Linked DNA regions of Drosophila melanogaster. The protein of the gene in region 1 interacts with the protein of each later gene in a biochemical or structural test. Each region holds a gene or a part of one and is shown in the gene's direction. Other genes may lie near its edges.

Region 1 (7,487 bases):
ATACAGCAATGCTTTCCAACACTGTCAATCTCCATGTCAATAAATACTGAGGTAGATGTGAGTGAACTGCGACTGCTTTATTTTCTCCTTATCGTACAATTAAAGCCCAATTGGAATTGTTAGCGACTCGTTTCATGGGCATTACGGCCGGGAAGACCGTGAGTGACTGTTCTTGTGGCTTCCCCGCACAAATATCAACCTAATACAGTGTAATAATGTCGACAAACCCAAGTCCGCAGCGGCAACAGTCCGAGGACGTTCAGATCTCGATGGCCAGTTCCGGAGGAGGAGCCGGCAATGGCGTTCCGGATAGACTGCCTCCGATCAACGTAAAGGACCAACGCTTCCCCTACTGCATCGTTTGGACTCCCATTCCGGTTCTCACCTGGCTGATGCCCATGATCGGACATATGGGCATTTGCACTTCGTCCGGTGTGATTCGTGACTTCGCCGGCCCCTACTTCGTATCAGAGGACAACATGGCCTTTGGAAGACCCACCCGGTACATAAGGTTGCACCCCAAGCACATGGTGGGCGGCAGTTACGCCTGGGACGAGGCGGTCTCCAAAGCATCTGTGCTCTACGGCACCCGCATCCACAATATCTTCTGTGACAACTGCCACTCGCATGTGGCAACGGCACTCATCTACATGCGCTACTACGACAGCACCGCATGGAACATGATTATCCTCAGCATGTGGCTCTTTGTCTGCGGCCGCTACGTCGGAATAGGGGGTTTTATTAAGACCTGGCTGCCGTTTGCCATTCTCCTGTCCATCTTCACCATTCTGGGCATCTATTTTTAATATTCATATCTATATCAAATGCTATCAATGTACAAATCTATGTACATATGACGTCCAATAAAGGATTCATTCATTTATGTATATGTGTGCTTTTTGTAGTCCCACCACAAAGCAGATAAGGAAAATACCTATCAGGCAATTAAGTTGGTCATTCATTAATGCTTCAGCAACTGTGAAAATACAGATTTTCAATTACTAGTGTTTAAGATAACGTTTATTCAGTGGATATGTCTATAGTTAGTACATATGGCTACGACTTAGTTTGGCATGTGGATGAACTTCAATTAATTCTCGATCGCGCGGGTGACTTCTTCGGCCACTTCAAGGAGTTTCTTCCATTGAATTAAAGATAGGGAGATGCCCTTCTTGCCGGGAAGAATTTGGCCGCCCTTATCGTAGAACTCTCGAATGTCCACCGATTTGCGACCGCGGAACTCGTTGATTCGCACCTGGCGAAGTCCTTCCAGGGTCCAAGATGTAGCACCATTTTCGCCCGAATCTTTTGGATCTGAATTTGGAGCATCAGATTCCTTCGCCTTCTTGCTTGCCGGCTTGATACGCTGAAAGAGGTTTTAACTTGTTATACCTAGTTTTGGTGTATTTCTAGTTAACTTACATCATCTGGACCGCTATCGCTATCTGAGGACGAATCCTTCTTCTTTGTTTTGGGCATTTTTATAGAATTTCCGTAAAACAGAAGAAACAAAACGCAAATTGTCAAAAAATTCGTGAATATTCGCGCAACTTATTCAGTGCTGTGAAACGCGTCGATAATAGTTGTGGTACAACGGATTCCTTAATCGATTCATCGATTTATTACAAAATTTTTAAAAACAGATATTGGCGATCAGTTAGTTACGTTATTATTATAGTTATGTTGTAAAATTTAGATAGTTCTTAGTGTTAACATTTTTCTAGACTTAAAATGAAATTAATACGATGTGCAAATCTATCGGAAAATAGATAAGCGTAGTCTTAGCAGTCCACGCGTACTTTCGCACACTGTTCGGCCGGCGTCATTTTAGAACGCGCATTTTTTTGCAGATTTTTCATTTTGTGGAAAGTCTTCTAGCGCCAACACACAGGCTTATAAAAACCAATTTAGCTGCGTGCATAAAGTGTAGATCTTATTTAATCTAGGTGAGCCATGAAAGCAAAGAGAGTCGACTAAAAATCGTACTTTCCTTTCGTACTTTGCGTGTGTGTGCGGTTGTGTGCGGTTGTGCTAATTCTTTCCTTATTTTTTGTCGTGTGAAGTATTTTAATAAAAACAAAATGGGCAAGAAAATCGACAACCCTGAGAGCTCGGCAAAGGTTTCCGATGCCGAAGAGGAGGAGGAGGAGTACGCCGTGGAAAAGATCATCGACAGGCGGGTGCGCAAGGGAAAGGTGAGTTTTCCGAACCAGACGTCCCATTATATTTGGTCCTAAAACGCCATTTTCCACCTGCAGGTGGAGTACTATCTGAAATGGAAGGGCTATCCCGAAACTGAGAACACGTGGGAGCCGGAGAACAATCTCGACTGCCAGGATCTTATCCAGCAGTACGAGGCGAGCCGCAAGGATGAGGTAAGTGAAGTACAATGCGATGCCAAGTACAGTTGTGCTTGCTAGGATTTCCTTTACATCTCGTTTCGGTCCGTAGGAGAAGTCAGCCGCCTCCAAGAAGGATCGACCCAGCAGCAGCGCCAAGGCCAAGGAAACTCAAGGACGCGCCAGCAGTTCGACGTCCACAGCAAGCAAGCGAAAGTCCGAAGAACCAACAGGTAAGCTATGGAATTGAGTGTACCTACAAATATTTTCTGTACACAAATTGGTATAACAATAGTCATCACCTACAATATCCACTGGCATTTATTTGCCCTTTTCGTCAAAACTGTATTCACATATGTATCTCAAATTTTGTCCTTCGCAAGAATGGCATGCGCAAGAAAAAGATGGTCTTTGCAATAAAAAAATGCATCTATTAAAAAATTGCACTGTATTAATTACTTGTTTTTATTTTATTTATTTAGCGCCCTCTGGCAATAAATCAAAACGTACCACAGATGCGGAGCAGGACACCATTCCCGTTTCAGGATCTACCGGATTCGATCGCGGCCTGGAGGCCGAAAAGATCTTGGGTGCCTCCGACAATAATGGCCGCCTGACATTCCTCATTCAGTTCAAAGGCGTGGACCAAGCAGAAATGGTGCCCTCCTCAGTGGCCAATGAAAAAATCCCACGAATGGTAATCCACTTCTACGAAGAGCGCCTATCCTGGTACTCTGATAATGAAGATTAAACAGTTGGATCATCGAAAGCGAAAAAGAACGATTATACATTTAACGAAAAATTACCCACTTAGAATTATAGCTCCTTGCAGGCGCTTTCAAAACCACCCAACCAACTCTTAAGGCATCGGACTTTTTTCCATAAATGTCCAGAGTCAGTGTCTGTATTTATGATAACCATTTTCAATAAATAAAAAAAACCTTTATTCTGCTGGAGCCTATATAAGTAACTTTTATTTGCGACTTGTTGCTCAACGGTCAGGATATGACGCGCATATGCTGACCATATGGTAATAAGGAGAATTCAATTGGTAATTCCAGAGGTCGAAAGGGATTTTGTAGCCTTAGCAATCTGAGATTATTGTGTGCACATTGTAAATGGACTGTCGGGTCTGTTGGAATGCATGTATTTTGCAGGTAGAAAAACGTTTATTTTGAAGTATCCTTGTTGTCTATCTGCGCGTGCGTATAAACTACAAGATCTTTGAAATTTCACAAGATGAACAAACAAAATGGCGAAACCTGGCTATATGTTAATTTATTCGTTTTATAGCCCTGCATCCTAATCAATTACTTAAGAATTAAGCAGTTTGTTGGCCACATTGCATTCCGAGTTCTCAAGGACATTTCCACAGCAGGACCAATGACGTCTCCCTGGATGTCCAGCATGTCCATGACCGCAGCCACTATATCCAGGCATATGACCCTCACACGAGCACATCACGTTCCGGTTGCCCTTTCCGGAACAGAAGGAGCAGCAGTGGTAGATGCCCGTATGCGGACGAACCTGTCGCGCTTGAAAAGTGAAAGGACCTCCCTTGATGGGCCGGTCGTTAATGGTGATCGTGAGAATCAACGTGCCCTGGGCATCCGGGGTGAAGGATATGTTGTAGGTGCCATCACGATTGTCCGACACCTCAACGGGTAGAAACTTGGAACTGGAGTCCTTGTACTTCAGCATGCAGTTGATCTCCAGGCCACCGTGGCAGAGGGAAACCCCGTCGGCATCTCTAGAGTGAAGCAGAAGATCCGCTTTTTTGTGGAGGCGCAGCTGTGAAAATCCCTCCCACTCAAGGGTGCATAGACTAGGCTCCACTACCTGCATGGTGATGATGCCATATAGAGGGATATCGCGCTGGTCCTTTGTCGACGGAGCACGGATTTTTGGTAGGAAGTGAAGCGAGTCGGATATCTGGGTAAAATGGTTTACTTTATAAAACAATAAAACAAGCAATTTGGTAACCTACCTTGGGATCCACAGGCGGCTTAAATTGCTGACAGTACTCCAAACGCCTTAGAAGTATAGTCACATAACTCAGAATCTCTACATCAGCACCAATCTCGCACAGCTCTTGGCTAAATCTAACCGCATCCATGGCCTGCTGAGTGCGTTTCTCTACAGGACTACGTCAGATAACTAGAGCTTTAACCAAATGAAATATGTCTTACCCAAATCAAGTTGCTGCTTGAGCACTACCTCCACTTTGGACTCCCTAGCTCTGCTGATTTGCTGGAGCAGAGTCTTGCGATGGACTGTCAGGGCATCCATGTACTGCTGCATGTACCGCTCCACTTGAGTCTGGATGTCGTCACACCGGTCGTTGATTCCACGTGCTATGGCATTCAACCTCTCAATGGAGTGCTCCGCATATTGACAGAGGGGACGAGTTTGATCCGTAGCTTCTTTGAGTAGTTTACCCTGATGTCCAATTGCCCGGGATATGGTCTCATGTCGATGGCCTTTATGAAGGATCACCAAACAGTCGGTGCATGCCAGTTGACGGCAGTTGGTGCAAAATGCCTTCAGCTCAAAGTTGGTATGGATTCCGCATCGTAGCACTAGTTTGCTACTATCTCCCAATCCCATCTGCTGTTGCTTTTGCTTCCTGGCGCGTCTAAGTTCCAGGATGCTTCTCATTCGATGGCTAGCGGTGCTCCTTTGCCTTTCGTGTGCCTCCTTGCACAAGGTGCAGAGGTTTAAAGTGCAGCTAATGCAGTGGTAGGTGGCCTGGAAAAGATTATACGCTTTTAGACAGCCTTCAAATCACTTAATGACTTCGTCCTCCTTACGCTAATCTCCTCTGTGCAAAGAGAACACCAGACCCTGGAGATTACATCCTCCCCAGCCTGTAGTCGCAAGACCTCTATGCGTCTCACTAGCAAGTAGTTCTGTGGAAGCTGACGTACTCCACCTAACGAAAGATCCGTGGGATAGTTACAGGTATGACAGCGGATGCAGCGGGTGGATACCTCGCTGGCAAAACTTCCGGTGAATCGGGTACCGATGGAACTGGTCGATCGCTTTCCGTCACTCTTGGACTGTTCGAATAAATTGGGTTTTATAGGACATAACCTCTTTGTATCTTGCTATCTTACCCTTATCACTAGGCGATCCATGGACTTCTTTCTTCTCAATGTAAAACTGGAACCTCGCTGCCTGGCGGGTGATACTGTCGCAGTAAGTTCCGCACTAGATCCACCCATCTCCGATCTTAGACTGTAATTCGAGGGCTCCTCACTGCGAGCTTGATCCTGATCCCACAAAGATTCGTCCTTAAAGTTCTCGCTGACCAGACATTGGAGACAAAAGGAATGCAAGCAATGCAGTGTCCTGGGATCTGTGTAAACATCCAGGCAGATGCCGCACTTGAGATCATCTGTGAAGATTACGGTGTTCTCGGGAGGGGTACTCGGTCTGAGAGTAATGCTGGGTGATGGTGACACGGGGGGAGAGATTCCGGGAGATCGTGAGGGACTTCTGGTCAGTGGTGAGGGTGCATCAAAGACCTCTGGTCTTGGAGTCAGTGAAAGCAGAAGTTGAGTTGGCATCTGGACCTGGGGTTGAGTAGTGTCTGGAGTTGGTGGAGATACTCTCAGCTCCGGAGAAGCCTTCAAGCTGAGTAGCCTCTTGGGATGCAGTTGCTCCTTTGCTTTTATGGGCTGTGCCACCGTAGCATTACTGGCTTGGCTGCTGCTACTACTTTGTACGGAAACGGAGGAGGCACCGCTGAGTATGTTATCCAAAAGGGATTCAGGCGAAGTAGAGCTACCTCCTCCAGCCAAGCTGCTAGTGGGCTCACTGCCACTGTCCCTATCCTGCACACCGAGTTCGACATTGGATAGCCCTGTACCTGATGACCCTGCACCCTGGGCACTATTCGACAAACCCAAAGTCCTAGATCTTCGGATGGAGCTCTTTGGTGCCAAACCCGGTAGCTTTGGCACTGAGGGTAGATGTATTTTCGAAGTCACTTCGCTCTTTGGGGCAATAGTAAAGGTAAAAAGTTGTGGTGCTGATTTGCGACGCACTGCGTCTGGTAAGGGAGCGGTCTGCAGATTATTCTGCGAAGTCTGTGCGTTTTTTCGTAAGGAAATTTTGGCAGAACTCAACTTTATCTTAAGTTTCCCTAAGGATGCACTGGGTGGCACAGCTGGAGTAGGAGGTGGGCTCGGAACAACTATTTCCACATCCCCTCGGATGCGTTCGTAATCCGTTAACTGGCCACTCTTGTTTCCGTTACTCGTTTTTCGCTTGAAAGCGATTTTCGAGCGATTTTCCCTGCTCATGCTTCCCGGTTATGCAATCCTGCAGCTCGGACTACGGATTCCAGGCAATCTGGAGCACCACCGCGTGTTCCCGTTGCAATTGGGACTGAAACTGAGACTGGGTCTCGGACTTGGTTGCTGCCTAATCCAATTACATTCCTCATTGGAAACCCACGGCGCACTGCGAGTGCGAATGGTGGCAAAAGTCTGACACTGACAATTGTGCAATTATCTGTTGTGGTTGCTCATTCTAAATAGTTCTTTCATGACAACCTGTCACTTGCTATTGATTGACTTTCTGATTTTCTGAATCCAGAGAGTATTTCGTGGTATGATGGGTGGGAGAAGATCCAACGGAGTAACCAAAGGAACGTCTCAACTTCCGAGTACCCCGCTAAACCCGTGAAGTGAAACTCTAGATGGACCCGATGTCGGTAGTGAATCAATTATTTTTTCATTTACCACCAAAAGGGAGTGTTCAAATTACTTCTATTTTTAAATGTGGCAATGGTAAACTTAGGTGTGTAGTTTACTACACGTTACTTGAGCAATTGATAGTGAATATATAATAATTTCAATATTACAGAAAACCCATAATGTCATATTAATACTAATAACCTTTTAACATATGTGTTTTTAAAATTGTTCGAATAATAGCGGATAACAACAGTTGAGTATTTTTTCATCTGAATGCAACTAGCTGCTCCAAACTTCCGTTAATAGCTCCATTAGCTGATCGAATGGCCAAGTAACCACTTACATTGACATAATACATTGTGAGGATTACAAAAGCAACGAAGCTTTCTCTCCCACCTAATCTTGCCAAAGCCCCCACACATTTACAACACTCGCTCTTTTACTC
Region 2 (8,275 bases), on another chromosome or scaffold:
CCAAAACCCACTTCTACAATTTGGTGGTGCAGCACAGACAGGACTTTAGCACCGTGGAGGATTTCCACAAGTTGTACTGCTATCTGTTCTTCGAGTTTGACCGCTTTTGGATGGAGAGCGACCCACGAAACATTATGGACTTCCGCGAGATTTACCAGTCATTTGAAATTACAAAACTAGAGGCCTTGCACAATGATAGCACTATTTTTAAGACCAATTTGGTTGTAGAATCCGTCTAAAAACACGAATAGGTCAATTAATGTGAAAATGAATTTGTATCTCGCTGTATCTGAATAATTTCTAACTCTGACGATATTGGGAATTGATTGAATCAGATCAGGCTGACCATTTTTGTAAATACATGTTTAGAGTGGGGCTAAATAAAATAATTATCTTGTCATTTTTCAATTTAAATTATCAATTCATTTCGCTTCTAAATCACTTTGTAATAAAAAAAAAAGGAATCCTAAAATAAGTATCCAAATACGACAAGCCCTTTTAATTTTTGTATAAATGCAGATTTTATGCGTTTATTTGAGAGCCATATATAATGTATATTTGTATATGTATTCATATATATTTGAATGCAAGTATGTAAATCGTTAAACTAAGCCTGGAATGTCACACAATAATACTTTAAATTCAAGTCGGAGATTGCCCACTGAGACAGAATAAATAATAATTTAAATATCACGCAAAAGCATAAAAACTAAACGAAATAAAATCAGTAGAGATTGCACAAGAAAATATTTTGACGACTAAAGCCTATTTGGTAATGCCATAAGAATGCTCAAGTCAAATCCCGATGCTCAATAGAGCTTGCAAGCTAGTTTTTGGAGTATCCATATAGATAGTATTCGTTGGTCTAGCGATAGAACTTGACTTCCGCCTCGACACAGTCCTTGAGCAGTTCGTCCAGCTCGTCACTGGCGTGATCCTGCAGAGAGAAATAGTTATTTAGCTCGTCCACGCAGGAGAGCTCCAAGCTGCGCAAGTGCTCCAAGGCGGCCGGCTTGCGTTGCGAGTGTAGCTTGTGCAGCAACGTCAAGTCCGCTTCCGCTTGCACTTGGGTTAGCGGCGAGATCCTCGGATTTGGGGCAAAAACGAACGGCTTAAACACAGACTCGGCGGCATTGGGCGTCCCGGTGAACCAATGGCATGAGATTCCCTTCACCGACAGCACCGAAACGGTAGCCGCCCTCGAGCTGCTCGCATTACTGGCGGATCGCAGCGTCTCGAACATGTCGTGCTGGGTATATGTTCCATCGCCAGCTGGCTTGGGACCACACCAATCCACTGCCGGGGCCTGGGCCTCTGCATCGTGAGCAGCGGCAAAACTGGCAGCGTCATCTAATCCCTCGCTTGACTTGTTCACCACAGTGGTCACAGCCAGTCCTCCGGAGGGCAAACGCAAGAAGCTGGCCTCCAATTTCTCAGCGGCCCATACCTTGCCAGAGCAACTCACAAGCCAGGCAGCAGCTGCATCGCAAGCGATGAAGTTTAGTTTGGAGTTGTCGTGACCGTGACTGGCCACCAAAGCTCCAATCCGGTCTACAGCATCGTCCACATCTTTGGCGACAGCCAAAGTCAAGCTACAAAAAAGTTATTAGATGATTTATTATTTCATGATTTATAATAATTGTAAAAGCCTTAGTTTCTCGACAACATTAAATTTCTGATTGATTCGTTTTTAATTAACTTATGAAATAATGTTGAAATAATAGTATCTTCAAGCATTAATAAGCCCTAAAGGACACGAAAGGATTGGAATGCTAATTACAAACATCAGCCACAAAATGTCATCCTTTGAATAAGTATTTACGTTCTGCATTATATAGACTTCATATGTACATACATTTTTAGTGATGAAAGTTATTTATATTAAGTGCAAATAATTTGCTTTGTTGTGCATAGTTTGTTGATACGCAGATATTGAAAGAGAACTTACCGCACTATATCCGTGCCCAGCAGGCTGTCGCTGTCCTTGGCCTCGTTTTCACCTGCCGCCCAGGTAAGACCTAGGGCCACTCCGCGTTCATTGGCCCCGAAGTCCCCACCCCAGAGACCCGGCTGCGGTTTTTGCAATATAACACGCAACATATCGCCGCCTGTCTCGGCAGAAGCTCCACCGTCAGTCTGAAATGTGAGGTGTTTGGGTGGTGAGTCATTGATCGAGCTTCGTTTTCGGAGGAGTCTGTCTTTACCTTCCCCTCAAGCACTTCGGTGGCATCGTAGAAGCAAACCTCCGAAGCAACGTTGACGTTTTTTTCGTCCTCCGCATTGCGACCGATGATCAAAGTTCCTTCGGCACAGTTCTCGGGCAGAACAACAAAGCAGTCACCGTTGGTCATTTTTATCCGTGCTTTTCTCGCGAAGAAGTTTCTTCAGAAGTGCGCGAGGGAGTTGCAAAATTGATTTTTCCCACAGCTGTTTAAGGTTCAAACGTTATTCAACACTGCCCAATATATATCGTGGAAATGAACCGTGGCGATGAGCCGTTGACTCGTCTGGCAACATCGGACGTTATTTATTTGTTTAGTATGGAGAATTCTAAAAGAACTATAAGGATTAGGTATTTTAGTGTTCTATATATAAAATATTTCCTTATACATCTCCATTATTTAAATGACGAGCATTAATGTTGACAATACTATGATCCAACACCAATAAGAATTCGATTTACTTAAATTACAACCTTCATTTACACCATAATTAGCAGCATTGAATAAGAGAGGGAAGTTATAATGAATATCGGGTTTTCCTTTGAATCTGGAAAAATGCAGACAAGTCGCATCCCATCTCTAAGCATTTTACCCTTCTCTGATAAAGTACCCATCGCTAGAAATCTGCCCATTCGTCTGGTAACCGAGGTTTTTCTTGTTTCGGCGTTAAAATGCTCAAAAACCTGTCTGCATAGAAGGAAAACGCGGAACGTCTCGGAATTGCAAGCTTTTCGCGATATTCGGGCAATTGGAAAAACCGCGCATCCAGCAAAATTGTATCCACTAAGCTGCATTTGTATACAGAGCAGGTGGTGTTGTCTCCCTCTCGCGCCCGCACTGCTCGCTCCCGATGTGCGAGCGAAACAACAACAAACAAGTTACAAGGTGTGTGGAGTGGTGTGTGCTGCTGGTGTTGTTGTAGCTGTAGTTGTAAATACTCGCGCACACAGTGTTGTTGTTGCGCTGGTGGATGGTGTTGTTCAGCGCCTTTTTTGAGTGTTGATTATTTTACTTGCGTGCGTTTGCTACTCGTGGGCGGCTGTGAAGACTGTGAGACGCGGAAAAGTGCTGAGAAAAGCCACGAAAAGCTAGATAAACGCTAACCCACAGCTGCGGGCTGGAAACCATTTATTTAAAGTGCCAAATTGGGTAAAGAAATTTAGAAAATCAATATTCTGTGAGGGTGCTAGCGGCCAATAAGAAACCTCTGCGTGAAAATAGCAAGAAAGTCGAAAGAATTTCAAGTTTTCGATAGACCGCTCCCTGAAAAAAATAGATATTTTCTGTTTTTGTTGTGCGTTGCTTGACGACTTTGACCGCGCGCATTTTCCCCGCCGTGAAACTAGTTTCTTTTTGTTTGGTGGCACACCGCTGATGACGTTTTAAAGCCCTGCTGGCCAGTGAAATTAAAGCAATTGCCCATAAAAATCAATAAATTCAAGCCACGGGTATACACACAATTTGAAGGAAATTTAAGCAGTGCTTTAAGAGACGAGTTGCGGAAACTGGGAGAAACTACCCTCCAGTCCCCAAAAACTCCCCCGAAGGATGTTTTAAATGGGGTACATATATACATGTACACACACCCACCCGTATTCCACCCCCCAAAAGCGCGCCCCCTTTTCCGGCATTTCGTCAACATTAATGTAGCATCTCCCCGCGTGCGTGTGTATGTATCTGTTCTGCCTGACGACAGTGTGTGTTTGCTTGTGTCGAAAGTGCATTGCTCTTCATTACAAAAGCAACGTGCAGAGCGGCCTCGTTTCATATGGCCAAGTGTGTGTGATTTTACACCGTTAAGTTAGAGAACTCCAGCTAACCCGCTGTTGGCAACACGCTGGCTGCGTTTTTCTTTTTCGGCAGTTGGCAACACGCTGACCCAATAACGGTACAACTAGACCCGCACTCTCCTCCGCCGCGATCTCTCGCACAGATGCGCATGCATGAATGAAACAGAAACAGCACCCGCATGCCGTTATTATTATTATTATAATAATTGCCGTTGTTGTTGTGAAATCTCCGCGACCCACATATTTGCGTTCGATCGCACATTGGGACCAAATCGACATCCAATTGGATTCGGGGCAGGGCTGCATTTTCCTGTTTTATTTTTGGTAGCCCATTTAAATCAGGTTCAATGAACCAACACCAGCCCACGGAATGCCGCAGAAGAGAGTGTTTGTGTGTGCGTTGCCCGTTTTGTGAAAGTTAAAAATATTTGTTGTTCGTATTGCTGTGCTAAAACCTCCTATCAATATTCGGTGGCATAGCTGTTTATATTTTCGGCCGTCTTTATTTAAATGATTCGACATACATAATTAGCATGTATTATTAAGCAGCGGCAAAATTACCTTGACATTGAGAGATTATTTGTGTGTGCGTGTAAATGTTCTGCGAACGGGGCTCCATGTGCCATCTCTCTCGCTCTCGCTTCGAAGGCCAAGTTGTAAATACAAGCGCACAATTAGGTATAATATTTTATAGGGCTACTGTTTTTGTTGATGTTATTGTGGAAAAACCGAGTGCGAATGACCTTGCCAATAGACACCTGCCTCGATAGCAGCATATTATCGATAACGAGAAAGGCCGGAACCTCTATCTCAAGATCGTCGACTTCGAGCGGGGTGGAGCGGAGCTCTGATAAAAAATGTTTTATATAGACTCTACGTTCTTTAAATTATTACAAAAATGTGAAAGAAAAAAGTAAAGAGCATGCTTATTTTCTTGATAAGGAAAGCTGAACAAATAAATTTCTTATAAATTTTACTGCTAATTCCATACAAATTTGGTAAAAAGTCGTTGTTTTTATTAGAAATACTATTACAAATAAAATTCAGAAGATTCGTAAGTGCATCATACTTATGTATGTTCAACTTTTCGCTCAACTTTCAACGCTCCTCTGGTAACGTTAATTGGACCCAAATATATTGAGTTTTAAAAATCCTCTTTTTACTTAAGGAAAATTCTTATATTATATATATATATATATATATATATATATATATATATATATATATATATATATATACTTGCAGCTCCAACAAAATTCCGTCTTCATTCAATGCGAAACTGGAGCTAGACTCCAGCAAAGACGACACCATTCACTCCACAAGCTTGAACAAGAAGCTGGTCAAGATTAAAAAGTTCAAGTTGGACGATATGAAGGAGATGGTGGGCGGCTGTTGCGTTTGTTCAGACGAGCGGGGGTGGCCGGAGAACCCGCTCGTCTACTGTGACGGCCAGAACTGTACTGTGGCAGTGCACCAGGCGTGCTATGGCATTGTGACGGTTCCCACTGGACCCTGGTACTGTCGCAAGTGCGAGTCCCAGGAGCGAACCTCTCGCGTCCGATGCGAACTATGTCCCTCGCGGGATGGCGCCCTTAAGAAGACGGATAATAGCGGGTGGGCGCACGTTGTTTGCGCCCTGTACATCCCAGAGGTGCGATTTGGGAATGTGACCACCATGGAGCCCATCATATTGTCATTAATACCGCAGGAGCGGTACTCGAAGAGTAAGCTATGTTTAAATGTTTTATATTTACATATATTATTTAAAAAATGTTACTCATTGAAAAATTATAACCCCTGTTTGTTAAACTAGCCTTAGCTAAATGGCAATAATTAATTACAATCCGTTTCCATTTTCAGCTTGCTATATTTGCCAGGAAATTGGCAAACCAAATCGTGCCAATGTTGGCGCCTGTATGCAGTGCAACAAATCGAATTGCAAGCAGCAGTTCCACGTCACCTGCGCCCAGAGCCTTGGATTGCTCTGCGAGGAGGCTGGTAACTATCTGGATAATGTGAAGTACTGCGGCTACTGTCAGCACCATTACAGCAAACTGGTGCGTATGTGAGGGATAGCATTCGTGATTTTTCCGTTCAAATTCTTGATACTTTGCAGAAAAAGGGCGGCAACGTCAAAACAATACCTCCATATAAACCCATTCAACATGACACCTCTTCCGATTCGTGTTCGTCGCCCGAGAAGGAGATCGATTCAACCATGAACTCCGCGACAACTTCGGCCACAATCATAAAGATTACCAGCAGCAGTGGCAGTGCTGGTGGCAGCAGCAATGTTTTGAATGCAAGCTCCAGTGCTGGAATCTCTGCTGGAAGCAGCAGTGGGAGTGGCGTATCATCTTCCGCAAAGCAGCGCAAGAGCAATGCATCAAGTAAATCATCTAGCAGCAGTAGCAGTAGCTCGTCATCCTCAACAGGAGGGGCTCCCAACCCCTCCTCGAGTTCTGTGCATTCGGGAAGTGCTAGCAATATGACAGGAGGAGGAAGTGTACTACCAGGGAGTAGCAACATCGGCAACATTAGCAATAGTTTAAACAATAATCTGCCCGGAGGCAGTTCGTCCACCAGCAGTGCTGGAAACGTGCCTGGTGGAAGTGGGGGAATTATATCAGCTTCGAGCGGTGGTGCTACGCAATCGACAAGCAGTCAATCGTCAACAGCACCAGGAACCACCAAATCATCGGCCAGCAGTTCGAGCAGTAGTAGCAACAGCTACAAGGAGAAACATAGCAAAAGCTTAAGCAAATCCACATCCAGCAAGGACAAGGATGGAAAAGATAGCTCTACCAATTCAGCGAATAACAATTTCACAAATTCATCTGCATCATCAACATCTTCCAACTCCTCGTCGACACGAGAGAAATCCTCATCAAAGCTTTCTAAGAACAAAGACTCCAATCAAGTACCCAGTGCCACCAGCAGCTTAAGCACAACGAGCAGTATCAACACCCAGCCCAGTTCGTCGACTTCAACTGCTACAGCTGGATCGGGCGGTACTGGGACTCATGTGAGCAGTTCGGCTGCCAGTGGACTTAACTCAGCTCCTTCCACAACCAATGAGCATTCAAATCATGCCCACACCCTTAGCACAAATGGAACCGGAGCCGGAAGCGCAGCCGGAAAGTTGCAATCAGTCAGTAATCTGAGCAACAGTAGTTCTGGTTTTGGATCGGATCTGCGATCAGTCAGCACATCCTCAAGCTCCACTGTGAACGACTCCACCGGAGGATTCGGTAGTAATTCGAATTCAGAAAGGGAGAATTTGTCAGGCGCTGGATCGTCGGCAAGCAACATGCCTGGAACAATAGCTCCTGGTACTGGTGGCGTATCTTCCAGTGCGGCCACTAATCTAAGCACCAATAAGGGAGGCTCTTCGTCATCGACGGCGAATAGCCTTACATCTACGAGCACTTCCTCAGGCAGCTCCTCTAACTCGTCATCGAAAAAACGAAAAGCGGATTCTGCTAAGTCCACTAGCAGTATTTCCACCTCTGGCTCCGCTCTGGAGGATAACAATAGGTGGGGAACGAGAAACGCAAAGAAAAGGTCTTTTACAATTTACATTTTTCAAAATTTGGTAGTTACTTAGTTTACGCCTGATTTTAAAGAAACAAATGGGACTGTGTTGCACATCTATGATTTGCAAAATTGTTAATTTATCGAACACCCGGTGTAGACAACTCTTTTATTTTGTTATTCTAAATAAATTGTAATAATTAGAACATAATGTATATTAAACAGTGCCCAATGTTACTGAGAAACCAGACTTTTTAAATATGTTTTTGTAATTTCATTGAAAAAGGCAACTTTTGGAATCCGTTTCGTTTATTAGAGAATATACTAATACTAAAATAACCCCGTATAAGACCTTTTTCTACTGAAACAATGTATAGAAAAAATCACACTAATATATTTTTCGGTTGTTTCTGTAGCTTAATATCCCGCTATGATATCAAAGATGTTCAAGTTGCACTGACGCCTCTAACAGATTTTGAGAAGGAAATCGAGAAGAGCTCCAAGAGGGTAAGTTGATTTTTTCTTTGTTTATCTTTTAGCATACTATTAATAGAATGATAAACAACTCAGTTATCGTTCCGAAATATTGAGTTAATATAAGCTTTTTTACTTTTAAGGAAACTTGTTTCGGATCTCTTGAGTGATTTTTGCGAAACATTCTCTTAAAGTGTTTTCTCTCTTTTTGGATACAATGTTGCTATATTAATGATGGTTCCCATTATCTTTTAC
Region 3 (8,641 bases), on another chromosome or scaffold:
GATGAGCCGACTCCTGGAGAAGCCCAACATCGCCATGTCCATCAAGTCCACGGGTAGTCAGCTCTCGAGCACGATGACGACAGCCTCGGCGACGCTGTCCTCGGACCTGGACGATGCGGACACATCCCGCACCCAGCTGAGTCCATCGGAAACATCTGGAGTAGTCCTCGTACCCGCCACTACAGTCACACCCAGTAAGTAAGGCGCAAAAGACAATTCACGAGAGATTTGTTTTCCAGACGCATAGCCAAGGATTTCAAACATTTTGATACTTGAAGGCAGTAAATAAAGCTACAATCTTAATTAACATGTACAAAAATCAAATTCAATGAACTTTCTCGCAATGTGATTTCCAATTCCTAGTAACTACTAAGCATTATAAAATGGACCTATTTAACTATGAGCTTAAATCCAGGACTCATTTTATAGTAGGCACTTCGATTCCACTTGAATGCCAAACATGTCCAAACAAAAATTAGGGAAACGCTAAATTACATTGGCGACACAATGAAAACTCTTGAATTTTTGTGTTTGTCGACAGTAAAATGTCGAGTATTTGACTTCAAACCGAACTAAATTATAGAGCGTAGTGGAGTGTCAAAGTTTCCTATGTCCCTCCGTTTATTTATCCATAGTCGCGCATTCGGGTATGAATGCATATTGAGATTTTCTATTCATTTTCTACCATTTACTATTTCAGTGCGCCAGAAAATCGACCAGGTGGTGATCAGCCTGATATCCGGAGCAGCGGCGGGGGCGCTGGCCAAGACGGTCATCGCCCCGCTGGACCGCACAAAGATCAACTTCCAGATCCGCAACGATGTGCCCTTCTCGTTTCGAGCCTCGCTGCGCTACCTGCAAAACACCTATGCCAACGAGGGCGTTTTGGCCCTGTGGCGGGGGAACTCGGCCACGATGGCCAGAATCGTGCCCTACGCAGCCATACAGTTCACGGCCCACGAGCAGTGGCGTCGCATCCTGCACGTCGACAAGGACGGCACCAAGTGAGTTGTACTATGCTCTAGATTCTCACCAACTTCATGGCGAATCATTCTATTTTGCAGCACGAAAGGTCGTCGGTTTTTGGCTGGCTCCCTGGCGGGAATCACCTCACAGTCGCTGACGTATCCTCTGGACCTGGCACGCGCCCGCATGGCCGTCACGGATCGGTATACTGGCTATCGGACGCTGCGACAAGTCTTCACCAAGATCTGGGTGGAGGAGGGTCCGCGGACGCTGTTCCGCGGCTACTGGGCGACCGTTCTCGGCGTGATTCCCTATGCGGGCACCTCCTTCTTCACCTACGAGACTCTTAAGCGGGAATACTATGGTAGGAATACTACCTATATCCTAATATAAAATTCTATAGACTTAGGGGAGATGTTCATTTAAAAATTCTTGTATATTGTATATGTCCATAGAATTCGGTTTTAAGCCCCAAGTTTATTGTGGAATTATACAGATAATTTCAATTTAAACCGGCATTCTGGGTCATTGTCATTATTTTGATTATGCTAGTAGAAGTTACCTATATTCTAATTAAGTGCTCACTGAATTTGCCAACTAAATGACTTGTTTGCTTGCAGAAGTGGTCGGCAACAATAAACCCAATACTCTAGTCTCGCTGGCCTTCGGTGCTGCGGCTGGTGCCGCCGGGCAAACGGCCAGCTATCCATTGGACATTGTGCGGCGAAGAATGCAGACAATGCGGGTGAACACGGCTGGCGGAGATCGGTACCCAACCATCCTGGAGACTCTCGTCAAGATCTATCGGTGCGTGCAAATCTTTGTCAACGATTTTATTCATATTTTAATTGCGATTTTAATTACGATTTCCAAACAGTGAGGAGGGCGTCAAGAACGGTTTCTACAAGGGACTTAGCATGAACTGGATCAAGGGACCCATCGCCGTGGGCATCAGCTTCTCCACCTACGATCTGATCAAGGCGTGGCTCACGGAGCTGGCCAACTTGAGACGGGTTGAGAAATAGCCCAGCTCCCTGCCCCTGCCACTCGTCACCCATAAACACCACACCAAAAACGCACTGCTTTGATCTTAAGTCTCGCGATCGATGGATGAGCTGAGGAAATAGAAGTGAAGCACCGACATGCTCTAATTGTTAGATATTTTTTAGCTGTTAGTTGTGAGGGAGAGAAGCGATGAAGTGAAGACACCCGAAAGCGCTTAACTTTGTTATTAACCGTAATTGATTTATTATCGCCGTAAGCCGAAAGTATATCAGCCAATAAACTGTCTGAATAATGACTCGCCTGGCACATACTGCTCCCCAGGACCTCGTATTCAATGGTGTTGCTTTGACAATAACACTCCTAGATTAATGATTACGATTTACCCGAACATTTTGTATATTGTGTATTGCCAACTCAATGTCAAGGCGCTGCGACTGTTAAAATAGTCATGAATTTGAGGGTGTTCACACCAGCATATACTATGTAATTCTTGTATGTTAGTGTGTTTTTATTATTAAAATTTACAAAATTGTTTAACTGATCGATTATCTCAATCGTTTTTAAAACGCGCGCCATCGGTTGTGACAGGTGGCACCTCCGGCGATTACGCGATAACATCTTTTGCGGGGGTGCTGTATATCGAAATATGCTGGTAGTCGCGTTCGCAAAAATTCGAGTGCTCGCAAAACGAAAACAACGTAAATTTAGTGCGTTTTAAAAGTGATAATTAAGACTATTTGCCCTGGAATTAGGTGGCCCAACAGCCGTGAGCTGCAGGCGGTGTTGTTTTAAGGATAAAAAGCGTTTTTCCCCCAACACCTGCCATAACCAAAAAGGCAATCTGAAAGGTGAGTGATTTGCTGTGCTGCGCCGATTGTGGAATGGATTAATTATTTAAGGCCTATTGATTAGACGGGGCACAGCCTTAAAAAAACCCCTCTCCGAGCACCAACCCTCTTCATTTAAAGAGGGTCGGGGGTGGCATTCTCATGCTCGCTTGTTGCTGCGCACAACAGGTGAAAATTCAGAAGTCGCGTATGTTTATATGCAGAATACACAAGAGTTGGCAAAAGACCATTAATTGTGCTTCTCTGCGTCTGGGGTAACCTTGACTTTCGGTGGACAAATCAATCAAATGCAATTAATTACACCGCCAGCGGTGCATATGTGTGGGTGGCAGCTCGTGTGTGTACAGACAACATGCGCACTCATATCTGCGGCGCCACAATGATGCGAAAATGGGTGTAAACCCCCTTTGATAAATGTTTGTTTATCGCAATTAGCTTCGCAAATTGTTTATTCTTTAGCAGCCGACAGTGCTGTTAACTTAACAGGGGTGCGAGGGTTGCACTTCGGGTTATCAGAGTTTTCCACCATCAAATTCATTTTACTTCTAAATAATAACTTCAATCAACTTATTTTTCTTTAATTAACTCACAAAGTTTAGTGGAATATTAGCACGATAGAGATATATATTTCGTAACTTGTTTAGTCTTAATGTTTCTTTTAGAACATCTTTACGAAAAATCCTAAATGCTATTTGTTTAATTATGTGCATTCCAAGTCAAAAATTTATAAGTAATAACAATTCAAAAATTTTGTTTTACCATAGTTATCGAGCTTTGGTCCCTGGTTGTTAACAATATTTTACTGCGCTGCTCTATAAAATTAAATCAACTTATTTTCTAATTAGAATTTCCTATCTTCCCGGTTTGGCAGAGATTTATCAGAATCGATACCCACTGTTAACAGCGATTGTTCACATGTGTTCATCGTCCGATAGTATCGCATGTGGATCGCTTTCGCTCCAACTCTAGAGACGCGGCAGTCGTTTTTTAGCCACTATAGGGAATTGTTCGAATGCGGAGCAATTTTCAAATGCGCAACCAGTTGAATTCTTTTGCAAGTGCACTTTGTTTTCAAGGATTCGTTTAACTGATAGGATTTCCTTTGGTCGAGACTCTAGTTTTTTTTTCTAAATTCTCAGTGCGTGTGCGGGTGTGCATGTGCGTTCCGTCTCCCTCGCACTGCGTCGTGTGTGTAATGTTTGTGTGTGCGTGAAGCCAGCGCGATTTAAAAATAAAACGGCAAATACATAATAAAAAATATCGAAGAGCAACAGCGGCAGGCGTACCAATACAAACTAACCGATACCAGCCAGCCGTGTGTGTTTACACAGTGTTGTGCGTTGGTGTTTGTGTACCAAAGGTAAATAGAAATAGGAGAAAAAGAGCAACAAATTTACGAGTGGTGGGGGGTACGTATATAAATGCGTGTGTGGGTGGGAGGACTCCGCTGCAAATGTGCACTGCGCAAATAATGTGGGTGGGCGTGTGGTGGTTCCGCAAGGCCTTCACGAAGGTTCTCTGCCTTTTGGCCACAAATTCGATGCACCATCATCATGTGTTTCCACTTGACGCTTTATTTATACATCAACAAAATACCCACACACATGCACATGTGTTCTTCACGCTCCTGTTTCCCGGTCTTCTTCTTCCCCGTTCATTGTTGTTTCCTGGAAAGCCCATAAAAACAAAGGCAACAAGAATTTCGAGTGCAATAGCACAAATGGCAGCAACAACAACACTGATATCGAGTATATTAGCTGTTCCCCATCTCACCGTCCCACTCGCTCCCTTGCACAGCGAGAAAGCGAGGCTATAAAACTAAAAATTATATATATTTAATGTCCTCTGTTTAAAAAATTAAGCTTTTTTGTATAAATACATAATACAATTTTTTGTATAAGGCATTGGTAAATTAATCCCATGTGTTGGGGCCCGATTCAACACCTGGTATCACAACATTTGGCAACACATATTTAACTGTTACTCTAGCACTATTTTTTCAAGTGTCTGACGTACGGGGCCCTATCATTCTCATATTCACATGCTACTCTTGCTTTCATACGTCGCCGACTTCTGCGCGCTCAACACTTTTATCTTGCTCGCTGTCGTCGGTCGCTTACTGCCCCCTCCTCCGTCGCGGGCTTCCCCTCTCTCCACCATGACTTCTTGGCCTGGCTATAACCCGGCTGGCTTCTACCACTTCGGACAAATTACGATTGTCAGCGACGCCGACGTTAGCTAACCCCTTGGCGTTTCACATTTGATAAACCCGATCGCATTGCTGTGGACACCGTAGATTATCATTGGTCATAGTGGGTCCTCCAATCAATGGCCAGGTGGACGGTCAACTTACATAGGTTAGTTGGCAGAGGGGTTTCTTCGTTTATGTCAACTAATAAAACGCATACATTATATAACTACCATTATTTATTAACAGTGGTTAAAATCATTAATTTTATAGATGAAAGGGAGATACAATATAATATTGTACTTTATTCAGAATTGTATTTACGGTCTGAGAAACTATATTTTACATTTAAAGTTCACCCTGAATTGAAATAAAGTAGTAATGTGGCTTTTATATATTGAAAATATATTGTATATAGATTCGAATGAACAGATATACTCTAAATGCCACGATACTTAAAACTATAGGGTGCTCAAAGTTCGTTTCCCCAATTAGTTCTTCTATATCGTGTTGGAACTCACTCCCGTCAGATTTGAACATATGTATTTATGCAGCAAAGTTTATCGCCACCAATCCAGTCCACCACATGTGTTTAAAGTTATTTCTGGATCTTCGATATAGGCAGTGCTAATTATTGCGCTATTATGCGAATCACTATCCTCAAGCGCAAATCAAGCCGGCTTCTTATCGGCGACTCTCGTTATTTACTTTGTTACATTGACACCTCGTTATCAAAGTCGTTTATTGCGTTGCATTTCATTGTCGTAAATGGAGCACTCTGCTGCGCCTTCAATAGATTGGGGGCCTACTGTACTTACACATATTGTGCCTGCTTATCGCTGGCAAAATGCTTTTCTGGTGGTAGTAGATGGCCCCCGAACTAGCGAATCAAAACTTCAATCTATAGTTTCTGAGGAAGTTACTTTGAGGAACTTACTACAACGTATTTTACAAATATTTTTGTCAATATGCCCAATTATCAAGTTTGAAACCCGAAAATCTGTCTAGCTCGTAATCAAAGCTGTACTTATTATTAAAAAATTAAAGATCATATTTATTTATTACTTGAAAAACCCAAATCATTGGTTATGGAAATATTGACCCTAATGCTAATTAGTTTTTGAAAAACAAATAAGTAATATAGAGCAGTAAAAAATGGATTCAATAGAGGATTAATACATTTCTGCGAATCTTTTGTTGCACTCCGCTGATAAGGAGTCCCATTTATTGGAATTTTGCTAAGACTTTACAGTTAAGCAATAAAAGACAATGTTTGGTAGCTGTATTGTTTGATAACCTGACTGACTTCAGTCGAATAATCACTTTTCGAACCATTGAGCACCAACACAAGACTGATAACTGAGTGATACCCAACCATGATTGTATTTGTATTGCAGATGACAGTTTGGACAAATATTCCTTAATTACTTTATTTTTTGACAAATAGACTTGAGCACATATTTTATGAGCTTAAGATCGGTGGGATTTATGAACAGATAAGTGAGGTCATCGGGGCAAGTGTGACAACAAACATTGATCTGTTCGCGGAACGAGCATTATGTGGTGATAAGAAACCGTGTGCCGACACATTACTTAGCTCAATATAACCCAATCGATCCGGTGTTTCTCGTTAGACGAAACAAAAGCCGACAAACATCGTGCAAAATGTCAGGCGAGCAGCAACGATAAATGATTACTTAAATAATACTTGGTGTGGCAAAGTGGTGGTGGTGGGGGGGCTCACTTTGGGCTCGGTTGGGGGTGGTGCAACGGCGAGGTTTCCATTGTCGATGTACGGCGTACACCCACACAACCACGAGGAAAAGAACACTGAGGCATGCTTATTAAACTTTTATGAGTACAAAAACAAATACCACAAACGACTCTCGTTTCTCACAGGGCAATCGTAAGTGTGTGCGTTGTTTATAAAAAATTGAACAAGAAAAATATAAAATGAACGCGGCTGGCTGGCACAAATGTCGAAGCAGCAGAAAGCAAAAAGCAAAAAGCGAAAAGAACAGCCAGGAACAACAAAGGCAGCACACCCGCGCTTGGGTGTTTGCAATCGTCGGTTTTCGAAGTGGTCAGAAATGCTTGGACGCCATACTAAGGGCCGAGGAAATTGTAGTGACCCCAACCAAAGCTCTACGGGCATAACAATCCCAACTTTGATGTCATGCCCATACAAATTTTCCCCCCACAGAGTGCATGACTAATATTCAAATTGGTGTGTCCAACTCAAAGAACGCGAATTTTTATAAAGTTATATGCCAACACTTTTATGGTTTATTTAAATAAATTGTATTATTGCTAACATATGTATGAACGTCGAGATCGCTAGAACTTTAAAAGCTAAAAGGTTTTGCTATTGGACATACAAATTCTACGCCCACAATATTTTGTATTTTATTATTAACTATTTTTATTGATATTTCAAATGAATTTTGAATTCCCATTTTATTTTATTGTGCAGAACGTATGCTCCATACAAAAAGTTTGATTCCGCGCAACGAGGTATCACTGTCCCAACTTACCTTTTATGATACGTAGTTCCAACCAGTCTTATCAGTGCCGGGCTGCTGCCATAAAACTTTCCACTTGCCGCACTTGGATTCCTTGGAGCTTTTCAATTCGCATGAAAATGGGAATCTTTTCTATCTGCGGCTATATCTTATTTATACGCCCACTTTGCAGATAACACGTTTTCCAGAATTTTCGCTGTGGCAATAGGCCAGATATTGTGTGTGCATACTGCTTACGGGGATTATTCTCCATCTGAATCTGCAGATTGTTTATCCCAAAAAATTTCGCATCGCACATATAGAAAGATAAACAAAGTGGCTCGGTGTGTGGAGTAACGATTGCCTGGTGCTCGAAGACGATGAGTCATCATCCAACCAAATGCTTATCTAAAATGCGCCCATTCGGCATTTTTTCTAGCTCGGCATATTAATCACACGACTAAAAGTGCAACTGGGCTGTTTCCTCTTTCTTCCTCCCCCCTCCCCTGTCTATCATGCCATTTCTCATCGTATTTCTGTGCTGTTTGTGATTCGCTTTTTGTTTGCCCGGACGGCAGCGAAAAGTCAACTTTTGAGTGGGCAGCTGGCCGGCGAGAGCTTGTTGAGAATCTGTATCTCGTGCGCACAGATACAAAAGTATCTACACATGTCCGTACAAATAGGCAAACACAATCCGTTGGTCAAGAATGTATGTATGCCATAACAATTGGCACTCAATTGTAAATGCATATTACTATGAACTGTGGGTTTTCCCCCGGCGAACGCTGAACTGACTTATATTTTTCTTAGATCCGCTGCTTTACATGCACACAGCCCACAACAAACAACGGATGCAAAAAGCAGCCCAACCAGTTCGCTTTTCACTGCAATTGGCAAACCACTTTCATTGTATGCACTGGTTTTTCATTGTTGAAAACTCAAGGCTCAAGGTCGCAGGAGGCACTAGTTTTTTCTGTGCGCATACTGCTTAACTGTGAAGCTAGGTAGATTATAAAAAATTAATTTAGTTCTCAGAATTTTGGAATTTCCCATTGGTACATGCTAGGATGGATAGAAACTGTCAAACTTCCGGGTGCTAAGAAAGCGTTTTTTTTTGTTTAGATATGTATATA
Region 4 (8,519 bases), on another chromosome or scaffold:
ACTTATACATTTATGATTTTATCAGAATCCTTTTGGTTTAATTTTAAGTTGTAAATCAACAGCACTTTGTTCAGATTGAACTTATCATCAGAAAAACACTTCTCAATTATGAATGCAAAGAAGTCTCATTCATGAATGTATGTTAGAAAGAGAAGACTACATACCATCGCGTGCAATGCCGGCTGTCCCTCTCTTTTCACCGCTCGCCACGTGTTTTTTCACATTCTAGAACAAAAAAAAATGAGAACTTAGTTATTTGCTTCCCACAATTGCATTTTAAAGCAATTCAGTTGTTAAATTTAGTTTATCAGTTGGCCGTTCTTATTCTTTCTACAGGAAAAGAATGCCAAATCTTGCGACTTGGCACTCGACTCTTCAGAAAAAGAACAATCATCAAGTAACTATTAAATTCATGCATTTTAATGTTCACTTACTTTTAATCCATTCATTGCAGTTGCATGAGATTGATATTTTAGCTTTTCTTTCTTTTCAAATGTAAGACCACATGGCCTTGCATTAGAGTACACATTTTACGGAATTCTTTCAAACACACCACAGCTCGCCAAGAAATTTTCAATTAAAAGAAATTTTTCTGGTTGCACGCTGCTTTTATAGACTTTTGTGATTTTAGTGTGACCAGAGGAGGCAAGGCATAATTTCCATTAATTTATCTATACAAGTATCGAATAGTGCCTGGCGTTGCCACTTTCTTAAATCAATCGAATATAAATTAATTTATAATAATTTAAATAAAACAACTAAAATCATGTGATTTAAACTGAAAAGGAATGGTATATTAAAAAATCGCATTGTTTTATTTTTAAAATAAAAGTTGAATGTTTACATTTTGAATACTGCCGGAGCTCACTCTTCTTCTTCCCCGGCTTGTTGACAGTGTGGTGGTGTTCACGATAAATAAACGTTTTAGCATAATGTTTGATAATAAAAGCGATAAGCTGCTGCTTGAAATGGAGGAAGACGATGCTGCTCCCGAGGATCAGCACCCCCGCTGCGAGCACGGGCCGACGGTTTTGTTCAACCGACAATCCCAACTTCCCGACCAGGGTTATTATGCCTGTTCAGCCCATCGGGACTCAAAACTCTGCAATTATCACTTGCCAGCGGATCAGTGGAAGGGTCAGACCACCAGGACGGCACTCACCAAAAGGGACTATCCCTTGCCATGCAGGAAACCAGCTAATCCCGCCATTTGTGATCCCACACTAAGCCTTACAGCGCTTTCCCAGGACAAAGTCAATGCCCAATACTTTTTTGATGAAGCTGCGCTCAACTTCTTGGCAAATCAGTGTGAGCATATAGGAGCTAGGTGGGTAATTCCAGCAATTTAGTTAAGCCCTTTCTAATCTAGTTATATCAGCAAGGTTATATGCATGGGCGCACCGCGTCTACACTTCCATCTGCGACACAAATTGCAAAGTTTTCTGTTGGATTTGGATGAGAGATTTGCCGAATATCTGGGTCCTGAAGAGTTCTGTCTGTACAATATGTGCAATAATCACTTCTTTTACGATCGAACGCCCTTTGAACAATTCCTGGCAGGTACCAGGTAATATATTTATTATATGATGGTTACCGCAATTATAAAATGTCTCATTTGCCAGTTCCGATCGACTGGTGATTGTAACAGATCCTCCATTTGGCTGTCGCACTGAACTGATTTCGCACACCCTGCGCAGCCTTAGAAAACTGCATAATCAAATCAACCGATTGCCATCCACTCCACTGTCCATATTCTGGATATATCCCTATTATTCAGCTAACCACATCAGGCAGGAAATGCCTGAGCTTGAAATGTGTGAATACAGGATCAATTACACTAATCACCTTAGATATACGAATGTGGGCAAGCAGAGTCGGTTTTGTGGATCACCCGTGAGGCTGTTCACCAACGTGCCACTGCGACTTCTTCAATTGCCCCCTGAAGAGGGCTATAAGTACTGCCAAAAATGCGATTGTTACACTGCCAAGGAGAACCTGCACTGCAACCGCTGCGGGAAGTGCCCCTCGGTGAATGGCCAAACGTACAAGCACTGCGAGTCCTGCGATGCCTGTGTGAAACCCAACTATGTGCATTGCTCCGACTGTAGAAGGTGCACGCAGAAGGAGGGACACAACTGCTCCTTCTATCAGACCAAACAACACTGCTGGATGTGCGGCCAGAAAGGCCATATCGAAACCAAGTGCCCAAACTTCCGCAAGAGAAAGACGAACTATACCAAAGGCTGCCTTTTGTGCGGCAAACGAAATCACAGGGAAAAGCGATGCTCGTACCGCTCAAAATACTTCAGGGAACAGTGTTTTATGAACGAAACAACAATTCAGTGTCTTTAAGATACATACAAATATATATGTACAAAGATAAATACAAATTGCATTTCTTTATATACTGAGGGGCACTTTAGACTGTATGCATTTATGCAGTTTATAAGAACAACACTGACAAAACCTTCACTACCATCCATAAACAACAGGGCACACATTTGTTTAATACAAAATTTATTTGTTCTTAACACTTTTCGTTGAATGTCTTACAAGTTCTTGAATTGCAACGGCTGCGCGCGGAATTTCTGATGCACATGACCACGATAAATTGTGGAATGAATTCTCAGCCCGCCGGATGAACGAACGGATTGGGGGAAAACGATTAAATTTTGAAAATATGCATTACGTTTAAACAGGTTTTTAACTTAAGCTTAGGTATAATTAATTTCATGTGGAAACACACCAATGCCTCAACAAGCGGAATGGATCTCTTCTTATCTCGCCGCAAAAGAAATGATGACGTCGACATTGTTCACGCTCGTTGAGGTGAAAGTATTTTATTGGCTACGAAATGCATGGCTTAAGAACGATTGTATTTGCCCCAAATGTGCAGCATGAAGACGGAAGCGATGAAGAGCAGCGACATGACCAGCACGGGTACGGGACCACTGCAGCAAAAGTCTCATTAGCACTGGGCCTTTAATATAAATATAGCCGAGTTATTCACTTACACTTTGATACCGGGCGAGTCGTCCGTGTAGAAACGCCACATGCCACCAGTTCCGGCTCCGCCGGGTGCACGGCTCCGGGCCGCTGTGGTGCTGGTGGTGGTCTTGCGCTGCTTCAGGGTGCTGCCGCCTCCGGATCCGGCGCTACGTGGCGCCGACAATTTGCTGGGGGAGCGCGATCCGCTGCCCACGGACGTTGAACTGGCTGGAGCGGGCTGGCAAATGTGTTTTAATTAGTTGCCGCACTCAATTGCCATCTAGTTTAACTCACCATTTTGGGCTATCTGTTCCTCTGGACCGACTGACCTGGAAAATATGAACGGGCGAAGTGGAATCTGAACGTGAATCTGAATCTGACGTGCTCGGCTTCGTGTCGCTTCGTCTTTTTTCGTTCCACGTCACTTTGGTGGTGGCACCGCTGCCGATAGGTCGTGACGCTGAGGTGACAGCTATCGTGCACTTAGACAGCTGGAGATGACAGGCTAAGGCAACTCAACTATCGGCTGCTTTGGCTCTAAAATGAACTAGTAAAAAAAAAACGAAGAAATAATATATTCAAGTTATGAATTTAATAGATAACAATAATAGATAAAATATTAATTCTACAAAATGAATTGTTTAAATCAATTTGAATGAATCCTATTAATATAATTGGCTATTATTAAAACTCCGATAATAAATGCTATTATTCTTGATTTCCCTTGATTTAATTATATAATACATACTTAATAACTATATAATTATATAGAATAAAAACTTAATCACGCATTTAATAGATCATATAGATATAGAATATATAGAAAATCAATGAAATCGATTTTGATAGCGATAATGTGCAACCTTGCATGTAAGTTATTTTTAGATTTTAGCTGGGCAAGCGCAATTTTCTTGGCGCGCACCAAACAATTTGTAAATAATATTTTTGCTTAACTGGTATTGGTTCGACTGCGAATCACTAAAAATTATTAAGTGACTTAAGCACCGTGTTTTAAACATTGTTAATCGGAACGGCCACACCGAAGCGCGGGCTCACTAAACGCTTTTGTCATTTTTGCACATCTGTACAACGTTCACGTTAATTGCAGCGGCATCATCTTTGCTGGATTTCAAAGGAATATTTTGCGGTGAAAAGAACGAAAAAGTGCTTGCATTTGTGCGCTAATGGGTATATGAGGTCCTTCTGCTAAAGGAATGCCAAGTCATACAAACTTTTCGCGATTCGCCTTAATGGAAATAGATAAGACGCGGCGCAGTTGAAAGATTGCAAATTGATCCACCGATCGACCGACGCACATGAAAAGTGAAGTATGGAGGACATTGAATATTTAGACGAGTACAAAGACTTGGTGCTGCCAGGTGCGTGATTTCAGCTTCCAATGCTATAAATACTTCTAATGTGATTTGTCTGTCTACTTTGCGCGCGCACAGGGATTAAATCGAGTGCTCCGACAGCATCTTCTGCCGGCGTTCCGCGGCAGCGGCGCATTTCATCAGACTCGAGCAACTCGTCGTCGATTGATGCGGACATTTTCCAAAAGCTCTTCCATGGCAAGTACCTCGACGACGAACTGCTTAAGGAGGGCTCTGGCTCGAAGTCGCAGGACAGGCGTCGACGCCCCCCATCTCCCTCCTCCAGCGACGAGTCCAACGATGCCTTGGAAGCCCTCTTCTGCGGGAAGAGCAGCCAGTCAAAGCTGAGCAAGAGGCGCGAACGGTATGAGTCGTTCGATTCGGTGGACGACCTAGGTGGGCATTTCGCAATGGTTTCAATGACGCATTTTATCAATAACATTTACTTTATGCCTACACTTAGGAGAAGCCCTAATGCGTCCATCGCACAGGCTGACCGTACCCAAGCCCAGTACCTCTCAGGCAGGTTCCAAAAAGTCACAAGATGCTGCCCCACACAGAAGCATTAGCAATAGCAGCAGCAGCAACATTGCCATGTCATCTGGGCAAACTTATGCATGTCCAAAAAACAAGAAAACCAATTCTGTGGCCAACAAGACAGCAGTATCTGCAAATGGTGATAAATGGGCTTCCGGCAAAAACAAGACCGTTACCATTGTAAAGCCCCAAAAAACAGATCTAAGGCCTTCGCGGCTTGAACCCAAAACAGATCCATTAAGTAAGTTCGATATTGTGCTACATATCTGGCTGTGCATAACCACTTCGTATTTTCCATAGATTTGGGTGACTTATACGGGGACTCTGACAGCGATTCGTCCTATGAGTATGAATCGGACTTTTACGGCGATCAAGACTCCGATGAAGAGGATGAGCCGGTGATCGACATTTCAACGGACACAAGCAGGACCACATCGGTGGCGGGTAAGTCAGCGTTATTAACTAGTTGATACTGCCAACCCTCTGATAATATTCATAATATGTAAACACACATAAACCGTGTAGACACTGTGACACCTGTTGTTTCCGACGACGAGGGCCAGGAGCCGCAGAGTGAGCTGAATCAGCGTCATGCGAATGATCAGGAGTCTTTTTTGAGCAGCACCTACGAACGCCTGCAGTCGTATTTGAGTAATCTCAGTTCCGCCGAGCCGCCGCCAATCTATAAGAAACAGAATAGTGCGAGAAAATCCCGCTCCAACGAAAAGAAACCCTCTTCTTCCCAACAGGTTAAGCATGCTAATGAGCAATCAGCGGGTAAGTGTGCACCAACGTCCATTGGGGCGTCCATTTCTGAGCGCCCTCGTGAACCCTTACCTCTGCTACACCCTTACATTTGTAACTTTTTCTGCTTTTTGTTTCGCAGCCAGTGACAAAGAGGCTAATAAAAAGGAGCGGGATTTGGAGCCACCGGAGGCGAGCAGCAGTGCGAAATCCTCGGCCAGCAAGGCTAGCGGTAGTCGCAAGCTGTATGACGTAGCTAATAATGCTACGCTTGAGGCTGTGGAGCGCATGAGTCTCGACCTGGCCGAGCAAATCATGGAGATCGATGTGGAGCGATCTTACGAGTTCGAAAAGCGGTCTGCCTCAAAGTCGCGTAGCTTATCCAGATCTAAGATTCCAGCAGATTCTAGCACCTCGCAATTGGGTCACGTGCGAAAGCTAACCTATTCGAGCGAAAGACTGGATCAACCGGAACCTTTGGGCACCCAGTTGCGTCGGTCGAAGAGCGAGTCCTTACCAAAGCGAGGTCGCCCTCGTGGCCAAAAGCAGCGTAAGAACCGTGGAGCAACCATGGAGGAAAAAAGTGCTAATTGCCGGGATGGGGAAGGAGAGCCAGTCAAAAGAAAACGCGGAAGGCCTCGCAAAATTATTCCAAAGGAGGAGGCTAAAACAGCAGAGACTGAAAATACAATTGAAAGCTTGAACACAAATGTTCCTCTCTCAATAGATACGAGCAAAGAAAATCCGGAAACGGAGACGGTTAATTTAGAAGTGCCAATAAAACAGGATGAACTAGTTAGCGATTTGGACAATGCCAAGGAGCTCACAGGATCTACCAATTTACCCCAGGATGATATTGAAATGGCGTCAAATCACCAAGAAACGGATCTTAAATGTGCTCCGGACAGGGTTGCGCTGGATAAGTCTGAGTCCACGCCAAAGGTCGAAGAAGAACAGCTTTGTAAAGTGGACACACCTAGTGATACTGCACTGGACGAAAGCAAAGTATCCGAAAGTGCAAAAAATCATATTGAATTGGAAGATAAGGATAAGGATAAGGAGGAAACTCAGAAGGAATCTCCCAATGGCAATTCGAAGGAAACCAATGAAAACTCGGTTATAGTTACTAATGAAGTTGAATTACCAGCTAAAAAGGCTGAAGCCAAGGCAGAAGCGGGAAATATTGTTGAGGAAAGCGACTCCCAACTTGCTGAGGATTTTAAATTGGCTGAAGAGATCTTAGCCGCTGAGGTTGGTAAGGGAGTTGAAGCCAACGAGGTATCAGTGACATCTGTGCAGGGAGAACAAAATCCAGTCATTGAAATTGTTAAAGAGTTAGAGCAAGAAACCATTTCGGAAGTCGTGCCCGCTCAGAATGATCAATCTTCAGTCGAAGACCAAACTTTAGCTGATAAAGAAAATCCAGTGGAAAAACCGTCTCCAGTTAAGGCACCATCCTCTAGTAAGGATGAACCACCTGCAGAAGAAAACTTGCCTGCTCCTGACCAGGATCCAATTGAACAACAGAAAACACCTGTAGCAAAAAATCAACAGCATGACAAAGAACACAATGAAGCTCCCAAAGCCGAATCTTTGTCTGTTTCTGATATTCCGTCTAGCTCAGTCACTCCATCCAAGAAACGAAATCATTCCTCCCCAGCTAATACCCCCAAGAAATCGAAAGAAATTGAAGCTTTGCAAAGTTCGGTGCCGCGAAGAGCGCTTAGGTCTGATAAAGCAACTCCTCAAAACCTAAGGGAAAGTCGGTCGAAGCGGACACTGAAAACCGAGCTCACACTACTTATGGATGATACAATGAGACGAAGCAGTCCGAGACTAGGAAGGTCGCCAGCGGAAAGTCATTCCTCACACGAACGCTCTCCGATGGAAAAGAAAGTGACAGTCTCCAAGTTGGCCAAAGATTTAATAACAATAGATAAGGAAAAAGAGATAGAGCTGAAGTCGCTACCTGATGCGTCTGAAACTAAGGATGTAAAGATAACCAAAACCACTACAGCATCAGATACTTCCATACTGACGGATGAAAATCCTAGCTCTAGTAAGACTGAAATGAAGAAGTTGAAGGGTAAACCGTTGAAGGCAAAAAAGATGAGTAGGACCAGTGAGACAGAAGTTAAGAAGGCAATAGCAGATTCCAATGAAGACATACCTTCTATTTTTTCCATAAAATGTGTTGAAGAACATTTAACTTCTAGTGAATCGGAACAGAAAGACGAAAAAGAGGAGTTATTATGTCCAAAACCGCAAATAGATTGTACCAATACGGATTTAGAACAATCCACGGCTATTGAAACTGATACGGAACAAGTTGAGGAAAAACGATCAAATCGCAGAAAATCGCGCAGGATTCGAAATGAAAAATTCAAAACTGAAACGGACACACTTTCCGACCATTTGGATGCAAAGAAAGCGGAGAATGCATCTCTGGAAATTAGCATGCGACCTAAATGTACATTGGAGACTCAGCAAAGTGATCCTGTCACTGCTAAGAATAAGCGAAACTCCGGCAGATTAAGTCGTAAAGAAAAATCTGTTATTAATGCGGCCAAATCCGAAAAGGACAAAAGCCCATCCGCCATATCTCAGTCCACTGAAAGAAAACAACTTTTAAATGAAAACCCTTCTAAGAAGGATAAAAAAACAGAGCAATCTGGTAACAAAAAAGAAGCGGTAGTGGGTCCACTTGACAAGACGGAAACGTCAAGTAGCACAAATATAATCGATAAAAAAAGTAATGAAAGTTTTGACAGTGCAATGCAACCGAGTGACAGGCTAAATCAAAAGGAGTCAGCTTTTACGAAATTGTCATCAATATCCAGTCCCAAAAAAATCATGAAAGATCAGGATAAGGATTTG

Evidence for each region.
Region 2: the proteins of Su(var)205 (region 1) and Alh form a complex in vitro, tested with the Drosophila melanogaster proteins (one study listed by BioGRID).
Region 3: the proteins of Su(var)205 (region 1) and Stat92E form a complex in vitro, tested with the Drosophila melanogaster proteins (one study listed by BioGRID).
Region 4: the proteins of Su(var)205 (region 1) and Su(var)2-HP2 form a complex in vitro, tested with the Drosophila melanogaster proteins (2 studies listed by BioGRID).

What each region holds. Positions count from the first base shown.
Region 1 is NT_033779.5:8,205,438-8,212,924, reverse strand, and holds Su(var)205 (suppressor of variegation 205), read left to right. Parts: upstream 1-1,802; 5' UTR 1,803-2,081; coding exon 2,082-2,195; intron 2,196-2,258; coding exon 2,259-2,375; intron 2,376-2,451; coding exon 2,452-2,572; intron 2,573-2,821; coding exon 2,822-3,090; 3' UTR 3,091-3,299; downstream 3,300-7,487. Other genes in the region: CG8372 (uncharacterized protein), read left to right, coding at 216-806; Ssb-c31a (single stranded-binding protein c31A), read right to left, coding at 1,091-1,366, 1,423-1,479; CG8419 (uncharacterized protein), read right to left, coding at 3,654-4,271, 4,327-4,475, 4,529-5,087, 5,150-5,398, 5,456-6,646. UniProt on the Drosophila melanogaster protein: Structural component of heterochromatin, involved in gene repression and the modification of position-effect-variegation. Recognizes and binds histone H3 tails methylated at 'Lys-9', leading to epigenetic repression.
Region 2 is NT_033777.3:7,118,736-7,127,010, reverse strand, and holds the start of Alh (alhambra), read left to right. Parts: upstream 1-2,825; 5' UTR 2,826-3,072; coding exon 3,073-3,107; intron 3,108-3,272; exon of another isoform or gene 3,273-3,371; intron 3,372-5,257; coding exon 5,258-5,736; intron 5,737-5,872; coding exon 5,873-6,069; intron 6,070-6,128; coding exon 6,129-7,549; coding exon of another isoform or gene 7,550-7,576; intron 7,577-7,962; coding exon 7,963-8,053; intron 8,054-8,275. Other genes in the region: CG10068 (uncharacterized protein), read left to right, coding at 1-239; CG10098 (uncharacterized protein), read right to left, coding at 866-1,592, 1,949-2,136, 2,205-2,351.
Region 3 is NT_033777.3:20,546,259-20,554,899, reverse strand, and holds the start of Stat92E (Signal-transducer and activator of transcription protein at 92E), read left to right. Parts: upstream 1-3,792; 5' UTR 3,793-4,179; intron 4,180-8,641. Other genes in the region: att-ORFB (uncharacterized protein), read left to right, coding at 610-647, 701-1,004, 1,065-1,316; DPCoAC (dephosphocoenzyme A carrier), read left to right, coding at 2-194, 701-1,004, 1,065-1,330, 1,587-1,773, 1,844-1,991. UniProt on the Drosophila melanogaster protein: Might play a role in signal transduction and activation of transcription.
Region 4 is NT_033778.4:14,613,666-14,622,184, reverse strand, and holds the start of Su(var)2-HP2 (Su(var)2-HP2), read left to right. Parts: upstream 1-4,066; 5' UTR 4,067-4,318; coding exon 4,319-4,367; intron 4,368-4,439; coding exon 4,440-4,757; intron 4,758-4,824; coding exon 4,825-5,139; intron 5,140-5,198; coding exon 5,199-5,342; intron 5,343-5,423; coding exon 5,424-5,675; intron 5,676-5,784; coding exon 5,785-8,519. Other genes in the region: CG12863 (uncharacterized protein), read left to right, coding at 933-1,327, 1,379-1,567, 1,623-2,352; Sec61beta (Sec61 beta subunit), read right to left, coding at 2,864-2,951, 3,015-3,226, 3,283-3,285.